Linked DNA regions of Ovis aries. The protein of the gene in region 3 purifies or fractionates together with the protein of the main gene of each other region. This does not show direct contact. Links are inferred from orthologs where the notes say so. Each region holds a gene or a part of one and is shown on either strand. Other genes may lie near its edges.

Region 1 (3,994 bases), on a different chromosome or scaffold from region 3:
AATCCCTGGGTTGGGAAGATCCCCGGAGAAGAGCATGACTACCCACTAGAGTATTCTGGCTTCCATGGACTGTATCGTCCATGCGGTCGCAAAGAGTTGGACACAACTGAGCAACTTTCCCTGACTTCTGATAAAATCACGAAGTCTCCATGAGTAGAACTCTAGGATGGGTCTAATTTCCAAAAAACCTTTTAAAAAGGATTTAGAATCATAAAATTTCTAAGATGTTTTAAGCAGTATTTTAAGAAAACTTTTAGGTAAACAGTAAGTGGCACAGAAAGAAAATCAAGAGACAGCTGAGGAAAAAGACCTGAAAAAAGCTGGTGACAACTACAAAAAAAAGAGAGGGAGGGAGGAAGGGAAAGGGAGAGAAAGAAAAAAAAAGGCAGGAAAAAAAAAAAGTTGGTTCTGGACATACTTTCACTGAACACTTGAATGGCCAACTCAAAGTAAAAGCTGGCAACTGGAAAAGCAGGGAAACTTGAAGGGGAGATCAGAGCTAAAGACAACCTTGGAATCAGCTTCCACAGATTACAGAGGATGGGCGGGGGGAAGATAATCCATCAGAATTACTGAACAGGAGCACACAAAGACAGATCTTCACATTTGATAGTTAAAACCCACAAAGCTAAGACATGTTATTTAAATATCTCAGAAAGGCCTCATATTGATTTTCTGGGTTTACCATAACTCATAAACTAAAATATCCTCACCTGGTTGTTGCGGTTTTCCTGCAGTGGAGAAGTAGCATCATCAGGAAAAGAGCTGACATTTCTCCTTTTCAGCATCTGGTCATCCTTCTTAGCTTTCCTTAGCTCCACATTCACTTCTATTCGGCGCCGCCTCATTTCCTTGAGAAAAGATAACGTATCATCTCACCTATTACATCAGTGTTAGGTGCCAAGTGAAGACAACTTTTTAAATTCACTCAAAGTGTGGACGCTCTTTCCAAATACCTTACCATTTAAAAAATACTAGAAAAACAACAGAAGGTACTCACTGTACTGTCTTTCCCCTTGTTCTTGAATCTGTGAAGGCGGGGAGCTGGTGAATTAGCATTCTCATTGGTGGACATGATTATGAGACAAAGGGAGAAAGCTGCAAGATAGGGGAGAGAAAAAAATTTCCTTTTTATCACTTTGTTTGGCAATAACATAGCATTAAGGGAATTATCAAATACACGTTCAATCCGTATTTCCATACTAGAGGAGGAACTTCCTTTTTCAGCACTATGGAACATGAGTTTTGGCCAAATTATATTTGGCCCCTCCCCTCTGAAGGGCTGAGGCTTCCAGGAGCAGTGCTGTCCATCAGAAATATAATGCAAGCTGTATAAATTTAAGCTTCCTAGTAGCCACGATTGTTAAAAGCAAAAAGGAACAAATGAAATTAACTTCAATAATATATTTTATTTACTCCAATATCTATTTTCTCACTTCAACACATTACATCAAAAAAATTACTGAACTATTTTGCATTCTTTTTTCATACTAATTCTTCGAGATCTTGCAGGTACTTTAAGCTTACAGCATTAACTCAGTTTAGACTAGCCACACGCCTTTGGTGACTATCACACTGCACAGCATGGCTCTAGACTCTATATAGGATCCATGAATAGTTAACTGAAGACAACGTACGGGATATAAGGTTACAGTTAAAATCTATGTCGTACGGGCCACAAATTCAGATCTGGAGGCTCTGCTGCTGCTGCTAGGTCGCTTCAGTCGTGTCCGATTCTGTGCGACCCCATAGACGGCAGCCCACCAGGCTCCCCCGTCCCTGCGATTCTCCAGGCAAGAACACTGGAGTGGGTTGCCATTTCCTTCTCCAATGCATGAAAGTGAAAGTGAAGTCGCCCAGTCATGTCCGACTCTCAGCGACCCCATGGACTGCAGCCCACCAGGCTACTCCGTCCATGGTATTTTCCAGGCAGGAGTACTGAAGTGGGGTGCCATTGCCTTCTCCGAGGCTCTACTGGCTTTAAACGGCCCAAACAGATACATTCTGCACGTTTGAAAATATTTAAAAATCTGATTCGTCGTTAACATTATGTAAACTTTCATAAAATTTCCTGCCCACCCTGAACACCTGCGACGCAGTTCAGCATCTCGCACGTTTTCATTTCCAGAAATTCTGAGTGAATGCACTAAATTAGGCTCTATCAGCTGCGTTCCACTCAAACTCACCTACTTAAGAGCAATCTCCCAAAAAAATCACAAAAGTCCTCCTTCAAAGTGGCTATCTTTAATTCCATTCTGTTCTTTTACGAAATCGTGACACAGCCAACCCAGGGCCTACAAATTAAGAGATAGCACTTCCAACTGCCACCTCCATCTGCAGTCCCCTCCCCTACCCCCTTCCCCACCCCCATTTCGGGGAAGCAGCAGCGGGAACCCGCGGAGGAGGAGCCAGAGGCGTCGGGCCCCCTACCGAGGCTTTCGTTCTCGGGCCTGACTCTAATAATTCTTACTCAAAGGCGATTGCAGCGGTTCGCAAGGCCTCGGGCACTAAAGCCCATGCACTCGCATCCACAGTGAAACACCCGTTTCGTCAACGAACTACGCCCCCAAGGCCTCATCGACCAGAGAGGCCGAAGCCTGGCCGGGCGTCTACCCCGGGACTCCCCTCCCGCCTCCAGCAATCCAAGAGCGGCCTAAGGACCAGCCTTTGTCGCTCCACCTGCACTGCGACCTCAGTTCGTTACCTACACAGCAAGCTCAAGCGTCCACCGGAGGCTGTGCGCGGCGCACAAGCTGCGGGATCTACTGCCTCCAAACGTCTACCACGGTCAGCCCGAGGACGGTGTGGCTCGTGCAGCCGGCCGGCGCGATTTAAATTTCCCGGTGGCTCCGCATTCCGATTGGCTGGTTCGAGCTTACGCTATACGCCCATTGGTGGATTTGAAAAACACGTTAGCTGGGGAGGGGTCAGAGGGCCCAGAAGTAGATAGGATAGCATCGCGAGATAAGGGAGCGGCCGCGCGATCCCTGAGAGCCTTGCAGTGCGGAGAAGAAAAACTCCAGATCCCGGCATGCAGCGCGCAGGGCCGGTTCCCTGTCCATCTTGGTCGGAGGGTCAGCTCTTTGCATGGGTTTACCGCGGTGTGGTGGCTGGTCGTTTTCCTGAGTGTTTGCCTTAACTAAGTACCACAAATGATTCCCAAAATAATTCTCTTTAAAAATCTTAATAAAGAAATATATTGCTATGCATTTTTCCCGATGGGACTCAGAAAGAACTTTGCCGGGGTCTCTGGACATCAAGCAGGGGAGGGATAAGGCAGATATGTGCTGCATTTGTTAGTTACTGTTTTTAACTTGTGTCATAAAAGACTGCATAGAAGGCAGAACTATGTTAACAAAAGCTTTATTAATGCCTGCTTCTCCAGTCTTATTTTTAATAATTTGAAATACAAAAGAACTGCAAATCTTTATCCATATTTGTTAAATGTTAATTTACTATTTTGATGTGTATGTATATATATATGTATACACACATGCACGTGTACCTCTATTTATATATACATGGCTTTTACATATTACTTTTTGAACCATTTGAGAGTAAGTTTGAGAAATCTTGTCCGTTTACCCCTAAATATTTCAGCTTGTATGTTGTAAGAATAAGGACATTCTGTTATATTACCACACCATAATCATCAAATTCAAGACAATTGAACTTATATGCGATTATTTATTCTGTGTTCAGATCATCAATTGTTATAGTAATGATCTATGCTATATTTTATATATTTCAAATAAAATGTTTGCATTTTCTTGTAATTTAAAAAAAGCTTCAGTGATAGTCATCAGAACCTCAGGATTATGGTCCACTTTCTTTTCGCAGCTTTTCTGTATCCTGAGAAGGGTATTTTTAAGAAAAGCTGTATTGGCTTTTTCTTTTTTTACTATGATTCAAACAATGAACTTTGTCCCTCCTGCAGGCATTTTTGCCAGCCTCACTCATTGTGTAACAGTAATGAGAGTCATGGAGGTTCCTT
Region 2 (4,137 bases), on a different chromosome or scaffold from region 3:
AAGAAAATAACAAAACTCTCTGTCAAATTGTTGGGAACTCCTTCACTGGAACTTACTTATCTACCAGCTATGGAAGGGTCCTCTAATTGGATAAAATCTTTCAAACTGAAACTCAAACTACAGTACTTGAGAATACATATATTAAAACTTTTGGACATCAGAAATATATTTAATATGTAATACACTATTAAATGCTATAAATATAAAAGACAGATCATTACTGTCTTCAAGCAGCTGGACATGTACACAGGTGTTATTAATCTATTAGTTGGACGACTATGTAGCTGGCATTATGATAGTGCTGTGTGTACAGTACTATTTTTTAAGCCCATCATTTGCAACTGATTACATGGACCATCTGTAACTGTCCTTGAATCACGTTAGAAGTTACCCCACTGACATTTACAGAACATTTGTCATGTAGCAAACTGTTTAGCATAGAAAAGTTGATACAGAATAGCTTTGAGGTTTCATTAAATCAACTTTAGACACCAGGCTATAGGTACAACCCATTGATGTGTAATCTCCAGAAAGACACGGGTTATGATTTGATTGAAGAATATCGTCTCACTCCAAGCCCTCTAGGGGTAGACTGAAGTGTCTTTTCTGACCAGCAAGGGGGCTTTCATCACCGTTTTTCCCGTGAAAGTATCCCACTGGGGTGGAGGGGGTGGTTAAGGCATTCAAAAATGGTGAGGAAAGACGAGGGAGTTAGAACTGAAAATGACGTGGGAGCAGTGGATCATGATCAGTCGGTGGCTCGAGACTCGCCCAGGGGGGTTAGAAGACTGAAATCACTATCAAGACTGTGGTCAGGGAAGGAATTGGGGCTCCTCTCACCGGACGCGTTCGCGCCACCTGTCAGACTGAAAAAGCTGGGCGATGCTGAGGGTACCAGGGAAAAGAGTACCCCGGGCCTCGGGAGAAGGCTGTGGACTGCTGGGTCTCTGCCTTCGAGGCGCTCATTTGGAAGGGGAGGGCAGGAAGTGGGGCGCGCTAGACCCCGCGGAGACTTCACGTGGTCTCTGGAATCAGGCTAGGAGACGAAGGCGAACGGGTGATGGTAGGGTGCGCGATACTGCGTGCCCCTCCCCTGAGCCTCTCAACTCCGCCTCTCGGACACGTGACCACAGCCGGGGCGGGGTTGGGGGGGGCTCGCCTAGCTCCCGCAGCATAGCTCGCTCTGTTTCTTCCCTCCCGCCGCTGTGCCCTTCTTCTCCCCAGTTCCAATCCCTCCGCCCTCCCCCCCTCCTTCCGCATGCTCCAATAGGGATTCGAGCTGTGAAGCGCCCGCCCCTCCGCCCTTTTCTTCGCTTTCTCATTGGCTGAAGCTTCAAGGACGCGTCCCGAGGGCGGGGGGCAGCCATTGGTGGGATGAGCAATCCGAGTTCCCGGATGAGGGAACATTCTGCAGTATAAAGGGAGCGGGGAAGGCGGGAGACAGCGCAGTTTGAATCGCGGTGCGACGAAGGAGTAGGCGGCTGGTTCTCGCTGGGTGTCTGACTAGTCCTTTCTCTGCTTTGCTTGTTTGAGCTTCAGCAGAATTCGAAATGGTAAACTTGGTGGAGACGCTCGAAGACTCCGCGGGTTTTTGCCGGCGGGAGAAAAACCCGTTACACACGGAGATGGGGGTGAAGCGGCGACGGTTGGGAACGCGCGGAGACAGGATTTGGAAGAGCAAGGGGAGGTGTTTTGTCGGCGGCGAGCGGAGCAGCCTCGGATCTCGCGGCGGGCGGTGACGGTTGGGTGGCGCGCGCAGCGCCGCTGGGGGCCGGCGGGCGGCGAGCAGGCGGACCGAGGCGCGCGGCCGCGCCGAGCGCGCGGCGGGGGACGGGCGGGCGGGGTCGCCCTTGCGGCGCGCCGCGGGCCGGAGACCCCGGCTGGGCACGGGGCCGCGCTCGCGCCCGAGCCGCGGCGCGGTGGGGGAAGGGCGCGCTGCTCTGGTAATCCTATATTCTGCGTTCCTCCTTCGCTCGCGGGCGTGTGCGCGCCGCAGGCTGGCGGTAAGGCTGGGAAGGACTCCGGAAAGGCCAAGACAAAGGCGGTTTCCCGCTCGCAGAGAGCCGGTTTGCAGGTCAGTGGTTGTTCGTGCATTCTGGGAATCGTGGCGTTTTTCTTTCCTTTTCCTCTCTTGTTTATCATCGCTCTAGATGAGCGTTTCGTCTTTGCGTGGGTGATAGTGTCGCGACTTGGTTTACCGATGCAATAAATATCGGGGGGGGGCGATCACGTGTGTCTGTGGTGGGGCGCGTTGCTGCACCGGCGTCCATGACCCTGCCTTTGGCGCGCGTATAATTAATTATCTTTGGCTCGTCTATCTTTGTGCATTTATGTTTGTGTATGCTAAAAACGAAGTTCCCAGTGGGCCGTATTCATCGACACCTCAAATCTAGGACGACTAGCCATGGACGTGTGGGCGCGACTGCCGCTGTGTACAGCGCAGCCATCCTGGAGTACCTCACCGCAGAGGTAAATGGGTGTACGCCTATAATCTGGAAAAGGTTGGGAGGGGGTGGGGGGAGGCGGCGAGAGGGAAGGAGGAAAGTGATGCAAGAAAACTCCCAGGCTCTGTACGCAGCGAGAAGCTTCCGACAACGCTAGAGGGGGCTGGTGATCATGATGGGGATCCTCCTGAGCTTGACTTTGCGGCCTTAGGAAATAAAATTGCGTGCCCTCTTTATGGCTTTTGCTTATCTTGCCATTCAGGTAGTGGGGGAGATGACAGTTGGTAGATATACCTTCATCATGAAGGTTTGATTCTTGTCTGGATCTTGACGTTAATGAAAGTTGGAAGGAGATTGATCGCATTTTGCCTTCTAGGTACTTGAATTGGCAGGAAATGCATCGAAAGACTTGAAGGTAAAGCGTATTACCCCTCGTCATTTGCAACTTGCTATTCGTGGAGATGAAGAATTGGACTCTCTCATCAAGGCTACAATTGCTGGTGGTGGTATGTAAATATTAACTTATAAATTTCTCTAGAGAAAAGAATTTGCTTTTAAATTTCCCTCTAGTAATTTTCAGTCTAAAAGAGGACACAGTATATTTTCATTGATCTGTAGTATGGTTGCATCATGAAATTTGATTTCTCTTACGTACTTCTGAATTTTTACTCTGCGCTTACATTGAAAGACATCTTCCAAGTTGAACATTAAACTCTTGGTTTTAAAGTAGTATGTTATTTTATCCCTTTTCTAGGTGTCATTCCACACATCCACAAATCTCTGATTGGAAAGAAAGGACAACAGAAGACTGTCTAAAGGATGCCTGGATTCCTTATTATCTCAGGACTCTAAATACTCTAACAGCTGTCCAGTGTTGGTGATTCCAGTGGACTGTATCTCTGTGAAAAACACAATTTTGCCTTTTTGTAATTCTATTTGAGAAAGTTGGAAGTTTAATTAGCTTTCCAACCAACCAAATTTCTGCATTTGAGTCTTAACCATATTTAAGTGTTACTGTGGCTTCAAAGAAGCTATTGATTCTGAAGTAGTGGGTTTTGATTGAGTTGACTGTTTTTAAAAAACTGTTTGGATTTTAATTGTGATGCAGAAGTTATAGTAACAAACATTTGGTTTTGTACAGACATTATTTCCACTCTGGTGGATAAGCTCAATAAAGGTCATATCCCAAACTAGTTGTGTATAAAATTTGCTTGATTATAGTAGGAACAGCTTTGTTTTGAATAGGTATCTTAGCTAGCAATAACTTAAGCACATTTCTTCCCTTGAAATTACTGTTAATTCTGTCTGTAGATCAACAAAGTTAAAAGGCCCAAGTTTTTTTTTTTTAAATACATTGTAATGAACTATTAAAAGATTTTAAAACTTCAGCACAAGTTGATGTTTTTTAGGCTAAGTTTAACCATCTGAGTTCATCAGCTTTGTTTGCTGTTTGTGATAGCAGCAAGCACTACACCAGCGCACTGTGGGGACTTGGGTGGGGTTGGGGAGCAGAGGCCAGGTAGGAAGGTCCTATATGCAGCTGCCTACACAGTCTAAACTTTTCAGTTTAGACTGATAATGTTTGCAGTGTGCTACACGCTCTTTTGAAGTTTACTTGCATTAAATTGTTCAGTATATGGTAACATCTTTGGGGAACATACTATTCACATTTAACAGAGAATCAAGATTTTTT
Region 3 (4,173 bases):
GCTTGAAGGCCTACAGTGGCTTCAGTCTGCTCCCCATTTCCCCAGCGGCCTCTCAGACCATCGTCCACCAAGCGCTGCTCACATTTTCCGATCCTGCCACTGTCAGGACACAGAACCGAACTCAAGGTTACCGTGGCCGACTCCTCACTCTCTGGGGTCTACTTGCCTGCCACCCTCAGAGAGCCCAGGATCCGCCTGCAATGCAGGAGTGAGTGAAGCCACTCAGTCGTGTCCGACTCTTTGCGACTCCACAGACTGTAGCCTACCAGGCTCCTCTGTCCATGGGGTTTTTCAGGCAAGAGTACTAGAGAAGGTTGCCATTTCCTTCTCCAGGGGATCTTCCCAACCCAGGTCTCCTGCAGAGCAGGCAGACTCTTTACTGTCTGAGCCACCAGGCAATGCAGGAGACCTAGGTTCAGTCTCTGGGTGGGGAAGACCCCCTGGAGAAGGGAATGACAATCCGCTCTAGTATTCTTGCTTGGGGAATCCCATGGCTACAGCCCATAGGGTGCAAAAAGACATGACGGAGCAAGTCACACACACACAAACACACACACACACACACCCTACACACACACACGCCCCTACACACACACACGCCCCTATACACACACACACACGCACCCTACACACACAGACGCTACACACACACACACCCCCCTACGTGGATGCTCATAGCGGCGCCTCTCATAGCTGCCAGGTATCAGGTGCTGACATGGGCAGCCATCAGCAGTGGGCCGTTTCTGACCTACTGCCGTGCTCCACCGGATACACGGGTGCCTCCCTGTGTGTCGGCCCGCTGGGCTGCCAGCGCCCCAGGGCAGGGGGAGGCACAGGGCACAGAGTTAAGGAGAGGACGGGGACGTTCGCTCCTCCCCAGCTCTCAGCGGGCAAAACAGACGCCGGCTGGGCCTAGGAATCCTGCAAGCCCGGTAGTCTCAGCCCATGCCCGCCCCATCCCCAGAGCCACAGGAACGGGGGCCGGGGGGCTGGCCCGGAGCTGGGATACTGGTCCCTGGGCCGCCCATGTGCTCAGCCGCACAGCGTCCTCTGGGCGGGGAAACTGAGGCAAGGGAGCCTCTGGCTTCCTCCCGGCCTTCCGGGCCTCGCCTCGTGCCTCCTCACCAGGGCAGCACGCCAGCCCCGGCTGTGAGACGGGGAAGGGCGCCGCTCGAGTCAGGGCGGCGGCTGCTATTTCTGCCCGTGAGCGGCCTTCCCTGGTACCTCCACTTGGGAGGCGGCCGGGAAGGCCGAGAAACGGGCCGAGGCTCCTTTAAGCGGCCCGCGGGGGCGCGCTCGGCCCTTTTGTCAGGGCGGCGACGGCGGCGGCGACGCGCGCGTCAGCGTCAACGCCCGCGCCTGCGCACTGAGGGCGGCCTGCTCGTCTTCTGCGGCGGCGGCGGCAGAGAAGCCCAGCGGCGGCGCGAGCGCCCCCGGCCCGGCCCGCCCTTCACCTCCCGCGTCGGCTTCCCCGGGCTAGGAGCGCCCCCGGCCCCGCCTCGGCCCTCCCGATCCTCGCAGCCCGGCCGTGGCCGCCCGCGTCTGCCGCCGCAATGATGATGATGGCGCTGAGCAAGACCTTCGGGCAGAAGCCCGTCAAGTTCCAGCTGGAAGACGACGGCGAGTTCTACATGATCGGCTCTGAGGTAGCCGATCCTTGCCCTCCGGGCCTCCCGGTCGGCCCGGTTCCCGCGGGAGCCTCGGGGCGGGTCTGCGCGCCGGGAACGCGCGTCTCCATTCATCGCGGAGGGCCTGCGTGCGCGTGCGCGGCCTGGCGCATCGGGGCGTGGCCTGTTGGGGCGTGGCTGAGCAGCCCCGCCCCCGCCGTCTGGGCACGCCCACCCGTGTCCCGCAGGGACGCGGTGGGCGGATCGGGTCGAGAGCGTGGTCTATCGGGGCGTGGTCGAGCAGGCCCCGCCCCGCGCTCCGCAGTCTGGGAACGCTCACGCGTGTCCCTGGCCGCGGGGGTCGCGGTGGCCCCGGGTCCGCGCTGAGTTCCACAACTCCAGCCGGACGTACAGAAACGGGGTGTTGGGTTATCCCTTGCTGCACACGGGGCGAGGAGTTGGACCCCTCGCACGCTCCCTCCTCTCCCTCGTTGCCCCAGCTGGAATCCTGAAACCGCTGATTCGAAACACCGAGCTTAGTCGGGGGCTCACCCGCTTGGTGCTCTTTGACTTGGAGTTGGGCGGGTGGGCGTTCTGATCTTCCATTATCAGTGAGAAGACAGGTTGGGAGAACGATGCTTGATTTTGGATGGCTAGGGCCCAGCCAGCCCTGAGCTAGATCCATCAGCAAATGGGAGGCACCTGGCACTTCGGCTATCTTGGACTAACTCTGAGTTAGTGCGAGGGAACGAGCGCGGAACCCCTTCATCCTTACCTAAACAGTGACCTTGCAGCACTGTGAGCCGGCTGGGTTAGCAGTGTGCACCAAGTATACGAAGTTCTTCCAGTGTCCCTCAGCCTTTGGCAGTCTCCGGCGTGTGCGTGTGTGTCCACACACACATTTTAAAATTACGGATCCGCAGTTCAGGTGTGCAAGCGCCGAGCAGCAGTGCCTCCCTTTTGTAGAGAGGCGAGTGCGGGTCTTGGGGAGTTACAGCAGTCACAAACGCCGCCGACGCTTGCTTCTCCTGGCAGCAGTTTTCAGTTTTACGCATTTCACTCTTTTGTTCTTTTTTACCATTTTTTTTCCCTCTTCATGATGGAATACGCTGTGAATGAATTAAGCCTCATGATGGTCACACTCAGTGAGGCTTTCGGGAGTCCCTGTGACTCCCTGTGGCTTGTCTGACTTGTATTGAGTTAGGAGACCCATGTTGTCAGTAGCATCAGAACTTTCTGTGTTTCCTTTCCTCACCGGTTTTTATGAAACACGGGGCCGGATGCAACGTACTTTCACATTATCACAGAAACGCTCCTCTTGACAGCTGGCCGTACTGGAGAGAGGCGCCACTGCCTGCCACGTGCCGCAGCTCAGAAGGGTCTTCGCCAGCCTGTGGGCACGGATGCGGCATGTGGTGACTGGCAGGTTAACTAAAGAAACCTTCACCGGATCTAACGGGCAGGAAGGAAAAGCGCTTGGTTTAGCACTGGCTCTGAGTCGGTGGTACTTTTGAAAATCAAGCTTGTGTTTACTGGGTGGAGCCCGGTGTCAGGTGGGCAGAGCGTGAGGAGCTCTGGCTCCAGCCTGGTGTCCATGGCACTTGTCTCGGGCATCTGATGAGATGCTTAGGCTAGACAGCTTCTGCAACTTGCCCTGCAGCACATCTCAGACTGAGAAAGACAACTGCAGTCTTGGTGAGTGAGAAGATTTGTCCTGAGATGCAGTTTATGGAGACCAGACGGCAGGAGGGAGAGGCAGTTGCCGTCCGGGGCCTGACTTTACAATGTTCAGACCTCAGGAGGCCTGGGCAGGGTTCAGGGCTAGACTGGCATCTACTCACAGCCAGCAGCTCTTCTGACAGCAGGGGTGCTTGGCCCCCGGGCGGTTTCCCTGGGCAAACAGCAGGCGCTGGTTTCCAAGAGGCACGCCAGGCAGAGCAGTGCCTACAGCGCCCCACACCACTCGGGGTAGCAGCCTTGGGAGGGTGTCTGCAGCTGCCCCAGTCCTGCCCCCCCCAGGGGCAGCTGTCATCACCACACAGAGGCACAGCCGAGGGGAGCCCAGGGGGCCTCCATACCAACACCTTCGTTTTCCATTTGGGAAACCCAGGTCCAGAGGGGGCAAAAGCTTGTGCAGGGAAAACCCAGGGGGCAGACTGAGTCCCCTGAGTTCTGAAGGGACCTCGGGAAGGGCCTAGGAGGCTGGGAAGCCTGCAGGACCTGCACGGTGGTACTGGGGGCATTAGGGTCAGTGTCTTGTCAAAAACCTCCTAGAAACTCTATGTTTACCCCCAGATGGTAACCACGCTCAAGCCAGGTAACTCGAAAGGGCCTGCCCCTGCAGCAAGGAGCAGGAGGGACGTTGTGGCCGCTCTCTCACGCTGTTCAGCAGCCGTGGTTGTGTAAATCTCTAAACTCATGAAAAATGGAGAAACTAAAAAAGAAAAATACTATAGTGGGGTAGGTACATGGGAAAATAGCACAAGTGGGTCCTTCGAGGGTGAACTTTACAGCTGATGAACATCTGTCAAGAGGAGTAGGGAGGCTGAGAAGAGGGCAGTGTTGC

The links. The genes of interacting proteins can lie anywhere in the genome.
Region 1: the proteins of SMARCB1 (region 3) and KPNA2 purify together in Homo sapiens (affinity purification with mass spectrometry; 3 studies listed by BioGRID and IntAct, with this or other methods). This does not show direct contact. The link is inferred for Ovis aries from reciprocal best matches to the Homo sapiens genes SMARCB1 and KPNA2.
Region 2: the proteins of SMARCB1 (region 3) and H2AZ1 purify together in Homo sapiens (affinity purification with mass spectrometry; 3 studies listed by BioGRID and IntAct, with this or other methods). This does not show direct contact. The link is inferred for Ovis aries from reciprocal best matches to the Homo sapiens genes SMARCB1 and H2AZ1.

What each region holds. Positions count from the first base shown.
Region 1 is NC_056064.1:48,653,709-48,657,702, forward strand, and holds the start of KPNA2 (importin subunit alpha-1), read right to left. Parts: upstream 2,807-3,994; 5' UTR 2,705-2,806; intron 1,099-2,704; 5' UTR 1,076-1,098; coding exon 1,001-1,075; intron 852-1,000; coding exon 714-851; intron 1-713.
Region 2 is NC_056059.1:25,067,496-25,071,632, forward strand, and holds H2AZ1 (histone H2A.Z), read left to right. Parts: upstream 1-1,446; 5' UTR 1,447-1,550; coding exon 1,551-1,553; intron 1,554-1,996; coding exon 1,997-2,074; intron 2,075-2,355; coding exon 2,356-2,469; intron 2,470-2,820; coding exon 2,821-2,950; intron 2,951-3,198; coding exon 3,199-3,260; 3' UTR 3,261-3,631; downstream 3,632-4,137. UniProt on the Homo sapiens protein: Variant histone H2A which replaces conventional H2A in a subset of nucleosomes. Nucleosomes wrap and compact DNA into chromatin, limiting DNA accessibility to the cellular machineries which require DNA as a template.
Region 3 is NC_056070.1:71,287,404-71,291,576, forward strand, and holds the start of SMARCB1 (SWI/SNF-related matrix-associated actin-dependent regulator of chromatin subfamily B member 1), read left to right. Parts: upstream 1-1,365; 5' UTR 1,366-1,553; coding exon 1,554-1,646; intron 1,647-4,173.